Linked DNA regions of Arabidopsis thaliana. The protein of the gene in region 2 interacts with the protein of the main gene of each other region in a pairwise test. Each region holds a gene or a part of one and is shown on either strand. Other genes may lie near its edges.

The links.
Region 1: the proteins of CRK10 (region 2) and AT1G08230 interact in a protein complementation assay, tested with the Arabidopsis thaliana proteins (one large-scale study listed by BioGRID).

The regions. Positions count from the first base shown.
Region 1 is NC_003070.9:2,583,137-2,588,912, forward strand, and holds AT1G08230 (Transmembrane amino acid transporter family protein), read right to left. Parts: upstream 3,834-5,776; 5' UTR 3,565-3,833; coding exon 3,477-3,564; exon of another isoform or gene 3,384-3,476; coding exon 3,153-3,383; exon of another isoform or gene 1,949-3,152; coding exon 1,664-1,948; intron 1,575-1,663; coding exon 1,444-1,574; intron 1,307-1,443; coding exon 1,067-1,306; intron 960-1,066; coding exon 579-959; 3' UTR 508-578; downstream 1-507. Other genes in the region: AT1G08220 (ATPase complex subunit), read right to left, coding at 1-152. UniProt on the Arabidopsis thaliana protein: High affinity gamma-aminobutyric acid (GABA) transporter probably involved in GABA uptake into cells.
Region 2 is NC_003075.7:12,136,177-12,141,461, forward strand, and holds CRK10 (cysteine-rich RLK (RECEPTOR-like protein kinase) 10), read left to right. Parts: upstream 1-1,818; 5' UTR 1,819-1,994; coding exon 1,995-2,829; intron 2,830-2,949; coding exon 2,950-3,087; intron 3,088-3,170; coding exon 3,171-3,289; intron 3,290-3,382; coding exon 3,383-3,593; intron 3,594-3,685; coding exon 3,686-3,923; coding exon of another isoform or gene 3,924-3,924; exon of another isoform or gene 3,925-4,055; intron 4,056-4,059; coding exon 4,060-4,210; coding exon of another isoform or gene 4,211-4,270; exon of another isoform or gene 4,271-4,286; coding exon 4,287-4,604; 3' UTR 4,605-4,746; downstream 4,747-5,285. Other genes in the region: CRK11 (cysteine-rich RLK (RECEPTOR-like protein kinase) 11), read right to left, coding at 5,021-5,285.

The DNA.
Region 1 (5,776 bases), on a different chromosome or scaffold from region 2:
AGGAAAGAACGGGTGGTTGATCGAAGAGCTGGCATTTGAGAAGGGAGAGAGTCATGATTCTCGTATCGAGTGAGGGAGAAGAGTCCTTGATGATGCTTGTTGAGAGCAGAGACTGATCTATGCTTCAGGATTCGATTCAACGTCGTCGCCATTTTAGTAGAGCTTAAACCCTATTTGTTTGGTTATGTCTCTCTGCCGGCGAACCAAACACGCTTGAAATTGAAAACGAGTCTAAAATCCTGAACCAGATTTTTGTGTGGGTAACCAATCAAACCGATTTTTTAAATCCGGTTTAATTATAGCCCCCAACTTTTGGGCTTCCGTTTCTAGGAATTGTTTTGCGTTGGGTTTCAAATGCTCATATTCCAGGCCTGTACTGTGATTTATCAATTTTCTAGATATTTATTTCATCTGTATTTATTTCATTCAAAATTAATTAATTTAAATTATGTAAAAATATTGTTATCAAAATTTGAATATTATTTTCCAAATTTATAATCATAAACATTTTTCTAAGAAAAAAAAAGGCTTATTCTTAAATATAGAAATAACAATCTCACTTTGCTTTGCATGTTCTTTTATACATCCGCAAACAACTTATACGTATTGGCATCTATTATAATCTGTCTAACCGCCGCTACCATAGCAATCACCCCTAAACACGAAAAAACCACGGCGATCACAGTGTTGATCCAAAAAATGAAACTTTTTTTAGACGGCTTGAAAGTAAAGTTGAAGAAAACTACAGGAAGAACGAAGTCTAGAGGTATAAAACCGAAAGCGCCTAACAAGGAGTTTACATCTCCAAAAAATGGAAGCATTGCCGCAACGATTGTAGCCATCACGACGAAGAGGGAACGCACAACTAGTCGAGGGATGACATTGCGGATAGAGAATTCTTTCTTTGTTGGATCGCTGATCACACTTTCCAAAATATCGTTTATAGGTTGTAGGTATACCTGCATAACTCAAAATTAGTAACAATGTATATATGTGACGAAAATAAAATAAAATAATAACAATGTATATATGTGAAAGAAAAACGTTAAAAAAAAATTGTATTTACCACAGCAACGGCCGAAAGTTGAAGGACAGTGAAGAGATTGACGAGAAAAATAAACCAAGTAGGGACAAAGTAATGGTTTGTCTCGGCATTTAAGAAATTGGTGAAGATAAGTCCATTGGCTTTTTTACCGAATGCCCAATATCCTGTGATGGCTACTGTGAAAAATGTCATTATTACTACAAGGTAACACATACACAACCCTTTCATCATTTTTCCTTTCACTGGTGCCGATATTGTTGCCTGCGTTGCAAGAAGATAGTATTCATATATCAAATACTCTATATATATAACTGAGTCGATCATGTGACTGCCCTTTTGTTTTTGATGAATAAATATTAAAGTGGTGTTCTAAACAAAGAATGGAAACAAAATGAAACCTGAATTTCAGGTATAATGCCATTGCCGTATGTAGTAGCAATAATAGCCATAGCATTAAAGATTCCAAACACTCTAGTTTCTGGATCACCAACTATAGTATAGTCCTTCTCTGGTGCATTTGGTTCTTTTCCTGATATTTAACAGAAAACTCACCTTTTAAATGTAACAATATAAAAGGTTTAAGAATTAAGAGTAAAGTGGTTTAGTAAAGAAGAGTACCAATGTAGATGGATGCAGCAGCGGCAGAAGCACTGTAGAGGAGGCAGAGGAGGAGAGACAGTGAGTTGATGTATCGTAGAGAGTGAAAGGATGGGAATTGTGCCAAAACCAAAAGTAAGCATCCAAAAATAATCACAAACTCAAAGAGTTTCATTTCCCCATTTGGCTGCACTACCAAGTACATTGCCTTTAGGCATTGCCCTCCCAAGAGCGCATTGGCAATAACCACACCATAGCACACCGCCATTTGTATTGGTCCAACGTAGTACCTTCCCCATTTCGGACCTTATCAAACACACCCCAATAATTGTTAAGAGGAAAACCAAACTGATCTTAACTAATCAAACATTCGGAACCTGTATTATACTTTACCTTATCCTAATTAAAGTTGTATACAGTCCCGAAAAAGTGGGCTAAATCGAATTCCTATAAATCCTTCAGATTAGCGGTGTACTCTAATGAAAACTAAAATCCAAATCGATGATTCGATGCATAATGGATTTAGTTTCATATTAGCTACTAAAACAGAATTATCCAGTAAGATAAAAAATTTCAATCAATTTTTTCTCATCATTTTGTAGTTTTTGCATAGATAAATACGTTAAATTTTGTCTTAAAAGTTTTGTTGACATGTGGATTTCCTTGGTAGTCGACAGTCAAAGCGTAACTATCCTAATTTGGATCGAATCCTATGTAGGATCTGAAATTTAGAATATTCTACTTTTGAAAGCAGATCGAACCTATCCAACTTTACTTATATAAGATTAAATTTTGGTCGGCACCAACGTTTTATGAATACTCTTCTGACACGCACATATTTTTAAAAATTGAAATTAGTTTTGAAAGACAAATTTCTGCATCAAAAATGAAACAAGACACGGAAAGAGACAGCTATCTAACGCATGAAAAAGTTGAAACTTAACAGTGGTATGAGTGGAAATGTGGAATGGTCAACACTTCGATCCGGATCCCAACAAAATTGAACCGAAGCAAGCCATATCAAAAAATTCACTATAATATGAATTCCATATGATTAGTTTTTTTTCTTCTTATAATTCGAAACAAGACCAAACAGTATAGAAAAGTATTTTTTTAAAAATCATAGGTTTACACAATACATATATTGTGATATTAACCAACCACGAACAAAAGTTGAGCTCATACCAATGTTTACTTGGTTTCTTATAAAATTCCGTTGTTCGTAATAGCAAACGTGATTATAAGTATTCCATCTCGCGTTTTCACACAAAAATTAACTTTTTTTTTTGTTCAAACAAATTATTACGTAGGACATGTACCTTCCTTTATTGCGTGGATGAAATTATTGGAGTGGTACCGGCCGTGTGTCAATTATTACGTATAGAAGTTCATATAGACACGTATGTCTACGTACAACTATACATCTCAATCTTGAATGAAATTCTCTTAAGGTAAATTTGTCGCAGCTTTGATTATAGGAAAGAGCAAATGTAAAAAGAAAAAGAATTACTGAGGATGTGATGAGCCATGTCACGGAAGCGGAGGTAACGGTTGCCGAGAGAAGCGTGGTGTTCGAGAGTAAGAGAAAGAAGAGTGTACGAGTAGAAAGTAACGGCTGCTCCTCCGACCAGACAAGATATCCCGGCAGCCCATCCTAAGAACTTGAAGGCGTACGGTAGACTCAGTAGCGCAGGCGCCACTATAGACGTCGTCAAGTGGAATCCGCAGTGCCACCATGTCCCTAGTTTCCATCATCATCATCATCATATCTTCTTCAAATGGGTTATAATAGTATACGTTAAGTTTCATAGATTTCATAATTAATAAAACGTACCTTTGGATTTAAGGACGAAGAGAGAACCAGCATCAACTACTTCTTCCCCTCTTTTTTCTCCATCTCCTGATCTCTCTTCTCCACCCATCTCTTTATCGCTCTCTTTGTTTCTCTTTCTCTCTCTCTCCCCCCACTAGGTGCTACTCACTTTTATAAGTCCAAAAAACACACTTGCTATCATATCATCTTTTACCTAAAAGCATTTCGTAATAATATTAAACATTGCAGATTTATAGTTTATCGATTCTCTTCTGTGTCAAACGATTTATGAAGTTATAAAATGTGTATATCTTGATTATTTTCTTTAAAAAATATATGATAGAATATGAAAATAAATGGAGAATTCAAAATATTTTGGAAACAAATCTCTTAAATCTTATTTTTTATATATAATTTCAAAATAATCGATTTTGGAGACAATCTTAAATTTTCAATACATCCAACAAACAGTAATAGAAAAAGCAAATTGGATAATAGTAATAACATATCAATATAACATGTTAATATGTATATTAAATCCTTATTACAGTTTTACATTTTCATTATAACTGACAGAATTTTTAAAATTGAAAGAAATTTCTTTCGGTTAATAATAATAATACTAGATTTTCACCCGCGATATACCGTAGGGACAATTTATATTTTAAAATTAGTATATATAAAAGTTTGTAATTTGTAACAATCTATGTAACTATCTATAAAATATTTTTATTTTATAGTTTAGAATTGTTATTAAGTAACGTCCTGCCAAACTCGTCCTGCCAAACTCGTCCTGCCAAACTCGTCCTGCCAAACTCGTCCCGCCAACCCATCCCGTAAAAAAAGCTCATTTATTTTATTAATGTTGATCTTCTTTATCATATGTTTATGAATCATTGTCTAAATATTTTGTAATTTTGTAGTAATTAAATGTTATCAAATATCTCTGCGGTTTGATGATTATAATTGAATTGTAATAGTCATGAAGAAAAACAATATCAATAATGATAATTTTGTAGTAATTAAATGATATTAAATATTTTGAAAGTTTTATTTTAGTAACCAATCGTGTAGTTAATGTAAAGAGATTTTAAAAAAATTTATTAAATGTCAAATATTTAATTCGAAGATTTTTTTTCTAATTATCAAAAACAAATATTAAAATCCAGTGGCAATCATTGTAAATAATTCTCAACTACAAGATTTATTTCACAAAATAGTTGCAAAAATGTATATATAGACTAGATTTTAACCCGCGGTACACCGCGGAGATAATTTTTTTTATTTAAACTAGTATATATAAAATTTTGCAAATTATCTCTATCTATAAAATATTTTTATTTTATAGTTTACAATTGTTATTAAGTAACGTCCTTCCAAACCCGTTCTGCCAAACCCGTCCTGTAAAAAAAAACCGCGGTACCCCGCTAGTTGAAATTTATAATTAAAATAAATATTTTATGGATTGCGATTGTGTTTTAGTTTGTCAAACAAAATTTTGTTTTAAATAGTTGTCGAAATCTAGTTCAAATTTTGGAGAAATAAGATTTAGTGAATTGATAAGAAATGTATTTAGTTGCGTTTGCTCATTTTAAGGGATTGCAATTGTCTTTTGGGTTGTCAAACATTTTTTGTTTTAAATAGTTGCTGAAATCTAGTTCAAATTTTGGAAAAATCTGCGTGATATATGGGATTGAAATATATTTGGAATGTTTTTCGTTTGTTAATCAATTTATTGCTGAAAAAACTAATAATTAAAAGCCAGTGACAGCCATTGTAAATAAGTTTCAACTCCAGGATTTATTTCACAAAATGGATGCAAAAATATATATATAGATTATATCTATATATATGTATTTTAAAATCTTTCTCACTTTAACCTCAACATCCAAAGTTTATATGTATATATAGTTTATTTGCTCGATATGCAAAAGCGTCTGTAGTCCAACGGTTAGGATAATTGCCTTCCAAGCAATAGACCCGGGTTCGACTCCCGGCAGACGCATTTATATTTTTTAACAATCTTTTCTGAAAATTTGAAAAGACAACATTTTGCATACACCAAACATATGTACATATGTTGTGTTCTTGTTGGACTCGATGGTTTATCAACCCCAGGTCCAATAGGACAACACGAAATTATCATACAAACCACAATGATTGATTGTCCCCAAACCCTTATTTCTGTTACCAACTCCACCATATTGTCACAACTTTTCCCCTGTTATCAAAACTTCCAAATCAATGTTCTATGAATTTTAGTTTAAATTTTTACCAATTGTTTATTGATTTATACGAATTCAATCAAATGTAAAACACCA
Region 2 (5,285 bases):
TTTGTCTTTACTTCAGTCTTCTCGTCTTTGATAGTGAATTGCTCATCTAGCTTTCTTAATCTTAGACTTGGTCAATGTTTTGGCTTTTCTCATACTAAACCAATTAATACATAAAATATTTAATTTATTTTCTATTACAATTATCTAGATATTTTTAGCTACACGTGATTGAAACGTGTCTCAAGCTACACCAACGCTCTTCCTCACAAACTGAATTCGTCGTCGATAGTGGTTGCTCTTGCTATCTTGATGTTTACTTCGTCTGATCGTTGAACTGGCCCGCTGCAACATTCTGAGTGTTCCAAGTGATTATTCTAGTTGTGCGTAACACCGTAACAGTAAAAATGAGCTAAGGAAAGCGAGATGCAAGGGAGAACCAACAGAAGCATAAGTTTTTCCTCTGTTATTACTAATGGAAAAAAACTTTCTTTTTCATTTTCTAATTCCTTGTCAGATTTCTCAGCTTCTCTTCTTTTTGTTTTGTGTAAGACTTGGTCGGAGTCTTAGATTACGCTGATGATTAAAAACTACTAAAAAAGAAAAAAAAAAGAATATTACGCAAATGTTCTCGATGCATTGACCAAGTCCTCTTCTGGTTCTGGCTCCATTTTCACATGCAGGCCCATAACCAATTTTAACGAGATTTGTTGCATGAAAAGCCGATTGTTTTTCCTTGGCAGTAACGAAAAAAAATTAGTTACTTTTTAAAAACTAGGGTTTTGAATAATATCATTAAAATCAAATAGAACGAACTAGGGTTTTGGCATCATACACCGCCTCATTCAATTATTAACAAAGCTGAGTCTTCTTCACGGAGAAATCACGGCTGAGCTAGGTCTCATATACCTTGCATCAATATCTTGGGCCTTTACTAGGATCGGAGATACATCAAACATAAAATACTTCTCGGTTTTATTTTCTCTTTCCTTATGTATATGTGAATGCCTTTAAAAATTTTGATTGCCTTTTTTCTCGTTTTGGAATAGTCATGAGAAGCTGAGAACCAAAAAGGAAATATTTCTCACCTTTGCAACTAGCTAGATGGAGCTTATGGATGCAAAATTCGTTTTAAAACACATTGTATTCGGATGATGTCAAAATATTTCACATTCATATAGCAAATTCATGTTTATATATTCCGATATTAACTTTAAATATTAAAACTTATATGCTGTAGATTCATATCCGGGTGAAAACACGAAAGGACTTATGATGGAACCATTATATGGAACGACGTCATGTGGAATATCAAGTTATTTAACTTCTCGCGAGTAAGACTATAAAAAGTAATAGAATAATTAGTAACTAACAATATCAGATAACGATAGGCAGATGATTTGGTAATACTATTTTAGTATCACTACATCACAATAACCATACTAGCATATACGATATACAAATTAATAAATTATCGTGCTTAAAACAAAAACCTATTATCAACCAATAATTTCTTCGCATCAGTGGCGACAATTTTTTCAGCCCCAGAATGATTCTTTGAAGAATAGTCAACAAAGATTCCTAATTTCAACAATTCTGTTCAAGGAAAAGTACGAAACAAATTCTACTGCTAGCTAGTTTCTCTCATGTATATCTAAATTCTATTACTAGTAATTAAGATCTTTGAAATCATGCCAACTGCTACATTTATTTTCTCTTGAAAATCCCAACTACCTTTTTTTTGATCAAAAAAAAAAAAGACTTTAGAGTTCAAAGCTTGAATTTAGAGTTATTATGTTTTAAATTTTGACAGTTTTGATAATTTTCTTCATTTTAAAATGATTTTATATTTTCCGTAATTTTTTTCTATATTTCATATATTAAAAAAATAAGTAATGGATTAGTAGCTAAACACAAGAAGTTGGACAAGACCCGACAATTTAATACGAGACGCGTTGACCTTGACCTTGACTTTTCGTCAGCACAAAACGTTATCTACGGTAGTCACTGAGAGAGAACAAACAATCAAATTTGTTTCATATATCACTCAAAGCTTGATGAGAAGAAACACAGATCAAGAAAGCCCAATTATGTCTTATTACTCCTCTTTCTTCTTCCTTTTCCTCTTCTCCTTTCTCACGAGTTTCAGAGTTTCTGCTCAAGATCCCACTTACGTATACCACACCTGTCAAAATACGGCAAATTACACAAGTAACAGCACTTACAACAACAATCTCAAGACCCTTTTGGCTTCTCTTTCTTCCCGCAACGCTTCCTACTCCACCGGATTCCAAAACGCCACCGTCGGCCAAGCTCCAGACAGAGTCACCGGACTTTTCAACTGCCGTGGAGATGTCTCAACGGAAGTTTGCCGTAGATGCGTCTCCTTTGCCGTCAACGACACCTTAACTCGGTGTCCTAACCAGAAAGAAGCCACACTTTATTACGATGAGTGTGTACTTAGATACTCTAACCAGAATATTCTCTCGACACTAATAACCACCGGTGGAGTTATCTTGGTTAACACCCGGAATGTGACATCTAACCAACTAGACCTGTTAAGTGATTTGGTTTTGCCTACTCTGAACCAAGCCGCCACCGTAGCCTTGAACAGTTCCAAAAAATTCGGTACGAGAAAAAACAATTTTACTGCGTTGCAGAGTTTCTATGGACTGGTTCAGTGCACACCTGATCTCACGAGACAAGACTGTTCGCGTTGTCTCCAACTGGTCATCAATCAAATACCTACTGACAGAATTGGTGCAAGAATTATTAATCCGAGCTGTACTTCAAGATACGAGATCTACGCGTTTTACACCGAATCCGCCGTTCCACCACCACCACCACCACCGTCAATTTCTACTCCTCCAGTTTCAGCTCCTCCGCGATCTGGTCAGAGCTCTGTTTTTTTCCTCTGTTTTTTTTTTTTGCCCTGATTTCTTGAAATTGGCAAAACCAATATAGAGAGTTTTCTTCTATCTGATTTTTAAGCAAATAATCTTTGAAATGCAGGAAAAGATGGGAATTCAAAGGTGTTAGTGATAGCCATTGTTGTGCCTATTATAGTGGCTGTTCTGCTTTTTATAGCTGGTTATTGTTTCCTTACAAGAAGGGCAAGGAAGAGTTATTACACACCATCTGCATTTGCTGGTAAAGATTTCAAGTGATAAACGATCTTTAATGTCAATGCTCAGCTTGTTTTTCCTGCTTCAAAGACTTTCATTGTGTAACAGGAGATGATATCACAACAGCAGACTCACTACAGCTTGATTATAGAACAATTCAAACTGCAACAGATGATTTTGTAGAGAGTAATAAGATTGGTCAAGGTGGATTTGGTGAGGTTTACAAGGTAAATTATAGTTCCCTTGAGCTGTGTTTTTTTTTTCTTGAAATTTTAAGCCAACACTTTTGGATAATGGGATGATGCTGATGAAAACAACAGGGTACTTTATCGGATGGGACTGAAGTTGCGGTGAAGCGACTATCAAAGTCATCAGGACAAGGTGAAGTAGAGTTCAAGAACGAGGTTGTTCTTGTTGCAAAGCTACAACATAGAAATCTGGTTAGACTTCTTGGGTTTTGTCTAGACGGAGAAGAAAGAGTACTGGTCTACGAGTATGTGCCCAACAAAAGTCTTGATTACTTCCTCTTTGGTTAGTTGCATTTAATGCTTTGTTTCAATGATTCTTGATACTTGGGGTTACGAATGTTTAGAGATCTCATTGTGATTTATGGATGTGGACAGACCCTGCAAAGAAAGGCCAGCTGGATTGGACTCGACGATACAAGATTATCGGTGGAGTTGCTCGAGGGATTCTGTATCTTCATCAAGACTCACGACTCACAATCATACACCGTGACCTCAAAGCCAGTAACATTCTCTTGGACGCGGATATGAATCCTAAAATTGCAGATTTTGGAATGGCTAGGATCTTTGGATTGGACCAAACCGAAGAGAACACAAGCAGAATAGTTGGTACCTAGTAAGTCTTCCTCATAACTTCTCATAAGTTGAAGTTTTCTGAACATTCTTTTGTTAACATAGTTTTTGTTGTGGGTTTATAAGTTGAAGTTTTCTGAACATCCTTTGGTTAACATAGTTTTTGTTGTGGGTTACAGTGGTTACATGTCTCCCGAGTATGCAATGCATGGTCAGTACTCAATGAAATCTGATGTCTATAGCTTCGGAGTGTTAGTTCTTGAGATTATAAGTGGCAAGAAGAATAGCAGCTTCTACCAAACAGATGGTGCACATGACTTGGTCTCATATGTAAGTTTTAAACCTATCAAGTTCCATATTTACCTGAACATAGTTGCAAGTGTTGATTGATTGAATAATATTCTAGGCTTGGGGGCTTTGGAGTAACGGGCGACCATTAGAACTCGTGGATCCAGCTATTGTAGAAAATTGCCAAAGGAATGAAGTTGTTCGATGTGTCCATATCGGTCTTTTATGTGTTCAAGAAGATCCTGCTGAGCGTCCGACGTTGTCAACCATTGTTCTGATGCTCACTAGTAACACTGTGACTTTACCCGTGCCACGGCAACCCGGTCTTTTCTTTCAGAGTAGAATTGGAAAAGACCCGCTTGATACAGATACAACGAGCAAATCTCTTCTAGGGTCTGTTGACGATGCATCCATCACAGATATACATCCTCGATGATGATGAGTTTTTCCCTTCATACCTGATTCCTGAATCTATTGGTGTTGAAAATAAGTTAAAAACTTCTTTTGTTATAGAATGTTTGTATTGTAATTGTAACCACAAGCAAGTATAAGATATATACCATTTACACGTTTCTCCATGAAGACGTAACAGTGACTTTTCCCTCCAAATTAAGCTTACACAACGATCTAGCAGGTAATTTGATTCAGCATGAAGAGAGTAAAACCAGTAATCGAGAAACGATTCTTAAAGAACTGTGAACTGTTCATAAGCATTTTACAGTGGACACTGTACAACATACAATTACAGATAAACCTGCTATGTTTCTTATGTCCGTGGACAAATAATATAAATGTCATCTGACCATTTTTCTGTTACAACTTTTAAGCTATGATGAGGAACCACATCAATTTTTACGAACTAAATGAGGAAGACTTGCTTGTATACTGATCAGACTCTGATCCTTCAGATACCAGTTTCAGTTGCCTGCTTCGTGGGAAAAATCCCGGTAGGCGAGGCACTGGTAGAGTAATTGTGTTACTAGTCAGCATTAAGATGATTGTTGATAACATTGGACGGTCTTCTGGATTTTCTTGAACACATAACAGCGCGATATGGATGCACCTAGTGACTTCATTACTCTGATAATTCCTTCCAAAAGTTGGATCCACCAGCTCT